Oryctolagus cuniculus: one gene and its partners. The protein of the gene in region 3 binds, or shares a complex with, the protein of the main gene of each other region. Links are inferred from orthologs where the notes say so. Each region holds a gene or a part of one and is shown on either strand. Other genes may lie near its edges.

The links.
Region 1: the proteins of EIF3J (region 3) and EIF3B are in contact, whole or in part, in an NMR structure (PDB 2KRB), measured with the Homo sapiens proteins. The link is inferred for Oryctolagus cuniculus from reciprocal best matches to the Homo sapiens genes EIF3J and EIF3B. Residues at the interface, in NP_003749.2 of Homo sapiens: Asp45, Glu46, Asp50, Asn51, Trp52, Asp53, Asp54, Asp55; in NP_001032360.1 of Homo sapiens: Lys202, Asn205, Val206, Ile207, Lys209, Ile210, Lys213, Asn249, Ala250, Asp251, Gly252, Tyr253, Lys254, Leu255, Phe261.
Region 2: EIF3J (region 3) and EIF3F share a complex: the UniProt entries of both Homo sapiens proteins name them as parts of the eukaryotic translation initiation factor 3 (eIF-3) complex. The link is inferred for Oryctolagus cuniculus from reciprocal best matches to the Homo sapiens genes EIF3J and EIF3F.

The regions. Positions count from the first base shown.
Region 1 is NC_091450.1:37,175,516-37,179,260, reverse strand, and holds the start of EIF3B (eukaryotic translation initiation factor 3 subunit B), read right to left. Parts: upstream 2,712-3,745; 5' UTR 2,637-2,711; coding exon 2,222-2,636; intron 1-2,221.
Region 2 is NC_091432.1:58,226,932-58,230,676, forward strand, and holds the start of EIF3F (eukaryotic translation initiation factor 3 subunit F), read right to left. Parts: upstream 2,231-3,745; 5' UTR 2,212-2,230; coding exon 1,827-2,211; intron 1-1,826. UniProt on the Homo sapiens protein: Component of the eukaryotic translation initiation factor 3 (eIF-3) complex, which is required for several steps in the initiation of protein synthesis.
Region 3 is NC_091443.1:67,490,248-67,493,892, forward strand, and holds part of EIF3J (eukaryotic translation initiation factor 3 subunit J), read left to right. Parts: intron 1-159; coding exon 160-274; intron 275-3,645. UniProt on the Homo sapiens protein: Component of the eukaryotic translation initiation factor 3 (eIF-3) complex, which is required for several steps in the initiation of protein synthesis.

The DNA of each region.
Region 1 (3,745 bases), on a different chromosome or scaffold from region 3:
AAAAAACAAAAGTGGAGTATAGGTTTGAAATTTTCATAGTAAAACATATGAAGGTCTTTCCAGAGGAGGAAGATCTTCTAATTCCAAGGAAAGGGCCATCATAAACCATTTCTAATTAACACCAACACTTTTACGAATGACAGTAAAAATATCACCTTAAAAAACTATAAATTGAATTTCTTTTAAAGGTTTTATGTATTCAACAGGCAAAATGAGAGCGAGCGAGCAAGAAGGCCTTCCATCCGCTGGCTCATTGCAAATGGCGACAAGGCCTGGAGCTGCGCCGATCCAGAGCCGGAAACCAGGAGCTTCTTCCGGGTCTCCCATGCGGGTGCAGGGCCCAAGCACTTGGGCCGTCCTCCACTGCTTTCCCAGGCCACAGCAGAGAGCTGGATGGGAAGTGGAGCGGCCGGGACTCAAGGGCGCTGGTGCCACAAGCAGAGGCTTAACCTGCTGCGCCCGCAGCACTGGCCCCTGCAGACTGAATTTCCAAGACGCCAAGACTGGGACGGGCGAGACACAGCTTGGAAAGCCGCACCCCACGTCAGAGCGCCTGGGTTCAAGTCCTGGCTCTGCTTCCGATTCCAGCTTTCTGCTCGTGTGCGTCCCGGGGGGGGGGGGGGGGGGGCAGCGCCGGCCCAGGAGGCGGGATCCCTGCCACCCACCCAGGGGACCTGCACTGAGTTCCAGTCCTGGCTACGCCCTAGCCCAGTCCCGGTTGAGCCCCCGCTACTTTGGGTATTTGTGGAGTGAACTGGCAGACGAAAGTTTTTGTATTTCTCTGCCTTTCAAGAAGAGCCAAAACTGAGACCAAGCAGAGAGGCACCCTCGCTGCAGGCACCAGGCCGCTCGGGTCACTTGTAAAACACGCTCAGCGTCCAAGCAAACCCTGCCGAGCCTGATCCGAATTTACAAGGTTTACAACAGAGAGCCAGCAGCCGTCCCGCAGGTGCTCAGTGCAACCAGGCGGCAAGGATCTGCCCAGGCCCGGGAAGGACCAACGAATTCACTCAATCGCACGCCGGCCCAGCAGGGGTCACTCCCGGCTCGGGGATTCCCAGCCTGGCCCAGGAGCAGCAGAGACAAGTCGCAAAACCACCAGCAATGCTTCGGGAGCCAGACCCGAAGCAACGTCTGACGCTTAAACGAGGTTTACAGATGTGTGTGTTTGAAAGTCAGCGAGCGGGAGGTCCTCCATCCGCTGCGCACTCCCTGGGGCAGCACAGCCAGGGCCGGCCGCGCGGAAGCCAGGAGTTTCTCCCCGTCTCCCACGTGGGTGCAGGGCCCAGCGCTCGGACCACCTTCCGCTGCTTTTCCCAGGCCATCGGCGGGGAATCGGACAGGAAATGGAACAGCCAGGACCCAACCCGGTGCCCACGCGGGATGCGGGTGAGGCTGACAGCAGAGGCACCGCGCGGCGCGAGCGCCCGAGCCGGCCCCGCACTCGGCCCACTGCGGCAAAGACCCCGCCGGGCGGCCCTTCACCCGGACCCACAGCGCGGGAGCGGCCACGCCCTCCGTGGAACGCGCGCACCTCGGGGCCACGCAGGCGCCCCGGTACGGCTCCTGACTGCCCCGCACCCCCTCGGGGCAGAACCCCCTGACCATTACATGGGCTCTTCCCATGCGAACACCCAAGGGTCAAAATGAGCTTTAAACCCAAACCTTGAATTTTAAAATGAGAAAAATCGCTGCGCTAGAAAGAACGCAGGTTACAAACCAACGCTGGCCCAGGCAGGAGGGCAGCAACACCGGCTGTGCCTTCACACCGCGTCGGCTCGGGGCTCTCGGGGCCGCCCCTCGGCGCTGCCAGCCGGAGCCCCGCATCCCGCCCGGGAGGCCGCGGAGCTGAGCCCCGCGCGTGGGCCCTGCGCGCATCTCGGAGGCCAGGACGCAGCGCCCGGCCCGGCCCGGCCCGGCTTTCAGGCACTGGGGGCGGGAGAGCGGCCGGAAGCCCTGTTTCTGCTGGTACCGCGGCCGGAACAGCCGCTTCCAGCCGCCCCGGCCGGCGCTCCCACCTGCTCCGCGGCCGGAAGCCCACCCACCCAGCTCGGCACCCCCGGAGGCCGCGCGAGGGCCCAGGGGCGCGAGGGCCAGGGCGGGCACCCGGGCCGTCCGGATCGGAAGCCGCGGCGGGCCGGCCGGGGCTCGCCGGGAGGCGGGCACTTCCGGGCCCCCCGGCCCTGGCCGGAGCGCCCGCAGGCCGCCGGCGACCCCTCACCTTCCTCGCTCACGTCGTCCACGAAGTCCTCGGGGTCGCTGAACGACGGCTCGTCCGCGTCGCCGTTCTCCACCGCCCGCGGCTCGGCCTCGGCCGCGCTGCCCTCCGCCTCGGACGCCGGGGCCGGCTCGTCCCGGGCCTGCTCCCGCGGGGCCTCGCCCTGCTCGGCGGGGAGCGTTGCGGGGGGCTCGGCCGGGCTGGACGCGGCCTCCTGCGCCTCGGCCGGCTCGGCCCTCACGTCGGGCTCCGGCCCGGCCTCCGCGGCCGCTTCCGCGGCGGCGTCCTCGGCCCCCGCGGGCCGCGGCGGCTCCTCCTCGGGCGGCGGCTCAGCCCCCGGCTGCTGCTGCTGCTGCTGCCCGGGCTCGGCCCGCTCCTCGGCCGCCTCCGGCAGCGCCACGTTCTCCGCGTCCTGCATGAGCCCGACGCCGCGCCTCACGAGCTCCGCCGCCGCCGCGCCGCCGACACTCCCAGGCCGCCCCGCGCGCCGCGCCGGCGAGCGCCGAGCCACGTGCGTGCGCCCGGGAGGCCGCACCAAAGCACCGGGGCCGGGGGGGGCGAGCACAACGCCCCGATTCGCCTCGCCGAGTCCGGAAGACACCGAATCCGCAGAAGTGCGTCTAGAATGAATGGCGCCGATGTGGCTGTGACTGAAAGATGCTCAGCTGCAAAGACCAAAGTCGTTTCGGCAACCTATAAACCCATTGGGAGCTGCTACTCCCCCCATTTGTCGTAGCGAATGGTCACGTCCAATATGGCAGCCGCTCCCTGCCTTCTCCCGTCGGGCGCTACGCGATGGACTGAACTACCTGCGGGGCCGACCGCGGCATGGATCAAGACAGACTCTGAACTGGAAAATGAACACCGTGGGAGACTGTCAGCTCATCAAGCAGTGATGCTGAGGCCGTCTCAGTCTTTGACCAGACAAACCGTTCAGCTTCCATCACTGAACTCCCCCTTTACGAATCGGCTTTTTAGACTCGTCCACTGACTGGACAGCAGAGCCGGCCACTCCGAAATACTCAGGGAGCCCACGGCGAGCCAGAGGTGGCCGGCGCTTCTGGAAAGACGACTGCCGGGCGCAACACAGAAGCGTCCGGCAGCTGCTTTAATCGCCTGCCCGGCCCCGCCGTGCCGCTGGCCAAGCCGCCGGTCGCCGCCCCCCCCCCGCCCGCGGCCGCAGTGGTTCGGCCCGGCGGAGGCGGGAGAGCGCGGGTCACGTGGGCGCGGGCGGAGCGACGCGGCGGCGGGGAGGCCGTGCGAAGGTCCCGAGTCGCCGGCCTCGGAGGCTGCCGCTCTTGGGCGTGTTCCCGTCGTCTTCTTTAGGAACCAGGGGCTTGGGGCCGGCGCTGTGGCGCAGCGGGTCAACGCCCTGGTCTGCCGCGCCGGCATCCCAGGTGGGCGCCGGTTCGAGCCCCGGCTGCTCCACTTCCGATCCCGCTCTCTGCTATGGCCCGTGAAGGCAGTGGAGGAACCAGGGGGCTGCCGCGGGCTGTAGGGAGAGGAGCGTGAGAATGAGCGTTAACT
Region 2 (3,745 bases), on a different chromosome or scaffold from region 3:
ACAGATGCTTTAATGCCCAGCTCAAGTGTCCTATTTTCTGTGACGGTTTCCCCAACTTTCTGAAACACTTATGTCTTCAGCATTTCCACACTATAACAAGTTTCTATTAGAGCACTTACACACTGTATTCATGTGTGTTTCTATCTTCAGCTTAAGGTTACAGTAGATTACATTTCATGTTCCAATGTCTGAGAAAACTGTTAAGTTCCCACTGAAAAAAATCTATGCTTCATGACAGGCAGAGTTAGACAGTGAGAGAGAGACAGAAAGGTCTTCCTTCCGTTGGTTCACCCCCCAAATGGCTGCTAAGACCGGCGTGCTGCGCTGATCCGAAGCCAGGAGCCAGGTGCTTCTCCTGGTCTCCCATGGGGTGCAGGGCCCAAGCACTTGGGCCATCCACCACTGCACTCCCGGGCCACAGCAGAGAGCTGGACTGGAAGAGGAGCAACCAGGACAGAATCCGGAGCCCCAGCAGGGACTAGAACCCAGGGTGCTGGCGCTGCAGGTGAAGGATTAGCCAAGTGAGCCGTGGCACTGGCTGCTTCATTCTTCTAAGCTCTGCCTCTATCACATGGGGAGCCCTGGACCCTGAGCCCAGTCTGCTGAGGATCTGAGGATCGAGATTACAGCCAGTCTGAAGGTGGTTACTCTAACATGTGGGCCACTAAGCATAAGCCTTGGGTAGAGAATCATTTCCTTAAATAACTTAAGAAATGGCCATGTTTAGAAGATAATGAATGAATCAATTTAGGTTTCTGTAAAACGCTATACCATCAAAGATACATTCAGAATGTGTGTTTTAGGGGCGGTGTGGAACCGACATAGTGGATGCAAACGGCTGTGTGTAATGGTGTGCCAGCAAAGTTAGATAATTTAGAATAATTTGGTTCTTCAAAAAGGAATTAAATTAGGTAATTTTCTCCAAGGCACATGGGTAATATTTGGTAGAGTTTGCCTACAAATCTTATCCTCTTTGTAATACACCAACTGTATTGTACAGTGTGAGGAGCATTACATGGTGAAGGGTAAGAATAAGAAATGATGCATGTGAAGTAAATTCACAGCAGTGCAGCAAACCCATTACAGAGTGGAAATGAACTGGATGGGACCAGTGGCCCCTGGGGAAAAGACATTTATTATCAACAATCCCTTGTTAAGGCTTTTCCGTCTTACAAACTCACTTTAACAAAAAATACCTACTCCTCCAATTGGGAATACAGGCAGGGAATGACTACTTAAATGCAAAATTAGAGACAGCACTGAGGAATAAGATTTCTCAAACTAGGAACCAGTCTTCCGGGAGACTGAGGGCTAGAGGATCAGGCTCAGAAAAGCAAAATCTTATTCCTAAGTGGGCTCCAGCAAAAGTAGTTTACTTGTTGGAAGAGAAATATTTTCACAGAACTCCTATTCCTTTAACAAACGGTTAGAAAACTCGTTGCAAACTCCTGAAAAACAAAGACATCTGGCCCGTGGTTAGGAGACAAATACGGGGCCATCCGGTTAGGGAGTCAAGCGTTCTCGATCTCATACCCGGCACCGAGCTCATTTTTAGGCGGAGTGGGGAGAATGACACCTGATGCGTTAAGGTTAAAAATGATGTCTATGCAATACACGGCAACTACTGTATTTCACATGTCGTTCCAAGCGGGTACCACCGGCAAGAGGGGGAGGAGGCGGTCAAGCCCCCTGGGGGCGGAGAAGCAGTGAGGGGTCGACGGTGACGGGAGCAGAGGGAAGAGGGACGCCAGACTGAAGGGAGGCGATCCGCGAGCGACAGACACAAGAGGTGACGGGGACAGGAACGATTTCCTCTGAGCACTCACCCAGCAGGGTCCCGATCACTCGGGCAGCGCCTTCGTTGCGTCTCTCGTAACTGTCTACGATGGAGGCCAAAATGACCGGGTGCAGCCTGACCACGCGGCCGCCGGGGAAGGGCCCTGGCAGCGCGGGACCAGGCAGCGAGGGCGCCGAGGTCTGCGCGGGGGCTTGTGCGGAGGCCGGGGTCTGGCCCGTACCCGCAGCCGCCGCCGCCGCCGCAGGGTCTGCGGCTGCGGCCGGAGCCGCTCCCGCGGCAGGAGCTGCAGCCGGCGCTGGAGCCGGCGTTGGCGCTGGCGCCGCGGCCGGGGCGGAGGCTGGAGCGGCAGCTGCAGCCGGGGTTGCGGCTGGAGTGGCAGGAGGCGCACTCGCGGAGACTGCTGGGGTGGCCATCTTGTCGAGAAAGAAGGAGCATGAGCGCTAGGGAAAGAGTTGTTGAGTACTAGCCGTTCCATAGGCTGAATATACATCACGTGAACTACTCCTTGGTGCCTATTGGTTATTGATGACACTTTTCGGGACGCTAATAGGTGCTGGTGCTTGTAATTTCTTCCGGAGTTTGTGCTCTTTGCTTCCGGTTCGGCGCGCACTGAGTGAGACCCGGGGTAAAAAGTTCCGAATCATTCTGAGTCGGCGTTCGGAGAGAAATTAAATGCAACCTTCGGCGTTGCCGCCAGGTGGAGCTAGTGAGCAGCGCAAAGGCCGCAATTTGTGTTTAGACTTACATGGGATGGTGGTTGCCCAAAGTACATTTTAAGAGGTTTTTGGAGCAGGCGTTTGGTCAGACAGACAAGACGTCGCTTCTCATTGCTTACAGCCCACAGCCCACATAGGAGAACGGGTCCGAGTCTCGCTCCCTTCTTGCTTCCTCTGAAGGTGGCAGATGTAGTAGTTCTAGGTCCTTGCTACCCACGTGGGAGATCAGGATGAAGTTTTGTGCTCCTGGCTTCTGCCGAGCTGAGGCCTGACTGTTGTGAGAATTTTGGAGTGAACCAGAGGGTGGAAGTTCTGTCTTCGTATGCCTTTCAAATACAATAAAAATAAATGAAAAATTTAAAAGGACTTTGGTTTTGACAGTGTCTTAAAGTGCCAGTAAGTTAATTAATTCAATAAGCCGATTGCCTGATTGCAGTACATTGAGCTCCATAGAGAACAGCACGATGGCAAGTGAGAGCAGGACTGGCACTGAGGGACTCTGTGACTCGCTGAGGAAAAATAAATAAATAGGGGCAGAGGAGATGCTAAGAAGCCTCGAGGTAAAATGTCATCACATGTTGTAAGTGCTCAGGGAAATGGAAGACCATGTCTCCTTAAGAGAAGGGAAACTAAAAAAAAAGGGGTGGGGGGGAGGGCTGCGCTGTAGCACAGTGGGTTAACGCCCTGGCCTGAAGCACCTGGCTGCTCCACTTGCAAACCAGCTCTCTGCTGTGGCCTGGGAAAGCAGTGGGGGATGGCCCAAGTCCTTGGGCCCCTGCACCCACGTGGGAGGCCTGGAGGAAGCTCCTGGTTCCTGGCTTCAGATTGGTGCAGCTCCGGCTGTTGCGGCCAACTGGGGAGTGAACCAGTGGATGGAAGACCTCTCTCTCTCTCTCTGCCTCTTCTCTCTCTGTGTAACTCTGACTTTCAAATAAATAAATAAATCTTAAAAAAAAAAAGAGAGAGAGAAGGGAAACTGTGAAGACATGGCAAAGGTGGACAAGGCTTGGGGCCCGTGCTGTGGCAAAGTGAGTAAAATCCGCTGCCTGAGGTGCCAACATCCCGTATGGCTACCACCTCCAGTCCTGGCTGCTCCACTTTGGATCCAGCTCTCTGCTAACGAGCTTGGGAAAGCGGCAGAGGATGGCCCAAGCCGTTGGGCCCCTGCACCCATGAAGGAAACCCAGAAGAAGCTCCTGTCTGGCTTTGGACTGGCCCAGCTCCAGCAGTT
Region 3 (3,645 bases):
GCAATATTTAAAGTGTTCAGAAGACTGCCTGAAATACGATAATCACTTTATGAATACATGTGGTTATTTATTTATCCCTATTAAAATATTCATGCAATACGACAGTGTACTGGGTCCATCATAATTCAGCTCTTTTAAAACTTTTCTGTCTCCTTTTAGTTAGAAGAACCAGAAGAACCCAAAGTGCTAACACCAGAAGAACAATTAGCAGATAAACTGCGGCTAAAGAAATTACAGGAAGAGTCAGACCTTGAATTAGCAAAAGAAACTTTTGGTAAGTTGAGGGTGCAAAAAAAAATGATGAGGGTACAGATTAGTGCAGTATTAAACTGTTCCACATGGAAATTCCAGAAGTTTTACTAGTTACGAAGAAAAAAAAATTTTTTTTTTTTTAAGATTTATTTATTTATTAGAGAGGCAGAGGTAGAGAGACAGAAAGAAAAGTGTTCCATCTGCTGGTTCACTCCCCAGATGGCTGCAACGGCAGGAGCTGAGCCAATCCAAAGGTAGGAGCCAGAAGCTTCTTCCAGGTCTCCCATGTGGGTGCAGGGGCCCAAAGACTTGGGCCATCTTCTGCTTTCCCAGGCCATAGCAGAGAGCTAGATGGAAAGTGGAGCAGCCAGGATGGGATGCCAGCACTGCAGGCAGCAGCTTTACCTGCTATGCCACGGCACCGGCCCTGAAAACATCTACTTTTTTTTTTTTTTTTTTAAAGAAAACAGTAGTAGCTAATTTAGGTATTAGAAAGCAGTTTTTAATCTCTTTCTGTATGTTTGAGACTTCATTACTTGAGAAGGTAGAGTAGGGTATGTGTTCAGACTTTTGAATAATTGTTTTGAGTTTCAAAACAGATTAAGATAGAAAAAGTCGATGGACTCAAAGCACATTTTTTTTTCCTTAAGATTTATTTATTTGAAGGCCAGAATTAGAGGCAGAGAGAGAGAAAGACCAAGATCTTCCATATGCTGGTTCACTCCCCAAATGGCCACAATGGGGGGAGCCGGGCCAATCCAAAGCCAGGGATCAGGAGCTTCCTCTGGATCTCCCACGTGGTTGCAGAGGCCCAAGCACTTGGCCATCTTGTACTGCTTTCCTAGGCTATAGCAGAGAGCTGGATTGGAAGTGGAGCAGCCAGGACTCAAACCAGCACCCATATGGGATGCTGGCACTGCAGGCAGTGGCTTTACTTACTACACTACAGTGCCAGCCTCCACACTTCCTAATAGAATATATTCATCAGCTGAATGAGATTTGGATGAATTGCAAGGTTTGTGGCCTTGAATTTTTTTTTTTTTTTTTTTTTTTTTTGTGGCCTTGAAATTTAAATACTGAACTGACTGTAGGGCTCTCCTGTTGCCTTAAGAGACTTAGACCACAGCTAGGGCACTCAGTTTGGCTGTGTCTTGTGCTCAGGATGGTTTCTTTCTATGACCCTTTTGGCTCTCACCATGGCATATATCTTTAGAGGACCTCCATTTCTATATTGTACCTGCAGCAGTGGTTAGTGCATGAGATAAAAGAAACCTGTAGGTCCTATAAATAAATACATTCAGAATGCTCCAGGGGGGAGAGTTCCATGGCACAGAAGGTAGACATGGCCCGAGCTGAACAAAAGTTTATTGACGTTGTTACTTACTGAATGCTTTTCAGAGAAGTTTGTAAAGTTTTTGAAAGATTTATTTATTTGTTTGAAAGGCAGAGTTAGAGGGAGACAGAGAGATGGATGGATGGACCTTCCATCTGCTTGTTCATTCCCCAGATGGCTGCAGTGGCCAAGGCTGGGCCGGGCTCAAACAAGGAGCTTCTTCGGGGTCTCCAAAATGAATGCAGGGGCCCAAGCACTTGAGCCGTCTTCCACTGCTTTCCCAGGTGCATTAGTAGGGAGCAGCCGGGACTCTAATCGTTGCTCATTCAGGATGCCAGTGTTATAGATGATGTTAACCCACTGCACCACAATGCTAGCCCCAGAATAGAATATTGCTGAAATTAAAAACCTTGAGGGGCCGGTGCTGTGGCACAGCGGGTTAAAGCCCTGGCCTGAGTGCTGGCATCCTCTATAGGTACCAGTTTGAGACCTGGCTGCCCCACTTCCAATCCAGCTCTCTGCTATGGCCTGGGAAAGCAGTAGAAGATGGCCCAAGTGTTTGGGCCCCTGCACCTGCATAGGAGACCTGGAAGAAGCTCCAGGCTCCTGGCTTTGGATGAGCACAGTGCCAGCTGTTGCAGCCATCTGGGGAGTGAACCATCAGATGGAGGACCTCTCTCTTTGTCTCTCTGTGTAACTCTTTCAAATAAATAAATAAATCTTTAAAAAAAAATCCTTGAAATTGAAGTCTATATAAGAAAGATCTGCTTATTCTTTCTCCCCTATCCTTTGTCTTATCTAAAATGGATCAAGCAGGCTGACTGTTGTGATTGTTCCGTTTTTATGATTTATTTATTTGAAAGGCAGTGTTAGAGAAAAGGATAGAGAAAGAGATCTTTGATCTGTTGGTTCACTCCCTAAATGGCCGCAATGGCTGGAGCTGGGCTGTTCCACAGCCAGGAGCCAGAAGCTTCTTCTGAGTCTCCCGTCAGTGGGGCTTTAGCAACCTCAAGCGTTGTGGATGCTCCTGTGTACCAGCGTATGCTTGGCAGGTCTTCAGTGTGTTCATCTAATTCTAGAGGGCACTCAGCCATTATGTGTTTTTATAGGATGGTGAGAACTGCCCTTAAAGAGGTAGGTTTATGCAGTGTACAGAAAACTTAAGTGTGAGACATCAGCTTCAGATTAAAAGGTAAAATCAATATACACTCATTGTCTTTGGCTTACCGGATTCTACTGTTCATTCTCTCATACTGAAATTCTGAATCTGTGGTATTAACAACAACTAATTTTCTAGGTACTGAGAAGGATGGAAAGCATACTTATCCCCGAGACTGAAATTCTTTTAGGTAGATTAATTTTTCTATTGGTATTTACCACATGGTTTGCCCCTGCTTAGCTTCTACATTTATTAAAATGTCTTGGAATTTATTTTCATTTTATTTGATAGGCAGACAAGGAGACAGATCTTCTATCTGCTAGTTTACTCTCCAAATGCCAGCAATAGCCAGAGCGGGGGCAGGTTGAAGCCAGGAGACTGAAGCTCAGTATGCATTTCTCATTTGGGTGGCAGGTACCCCTGTACTTGAGCCATTACCTGCCGCCTCCCAGGATGCATGTTCACAGGAAGCTTGGTTGGAAGTGTGCCAGAACCAGGCATGCCAGTATGGGCTATGGGTGTCCCAAAGGAACCTTAACGGCTGAGCTTCTGGATTTAGTGAACTGAATATTTTTACAGAATCCATCTTTGTTTCCTATGCCTTATTCCCTTGTCTCCCCAATTTATTGTGGGTTATTCTTGGATAGCCTTTTCATGAGAGCATCCTTTTCATGATATGGATGCCTTTAGCAGCTGATAAAACCTGTGGACCTCTTCCTAAAATACATATTTTAATTAAAAATTTTTCCTTTATATTTGCATGGCAGTAGGAGATCTTCCATCTGCTGATTCATTCCCAAATGCCTATAACAGCTGAGTCTGCATCAGGCCAAGGCCAGGAACCAGGAACTCAGTGTTTATCTCCATGTGGGTGGCAGGAATCCCAAGCACTTGAACCTGT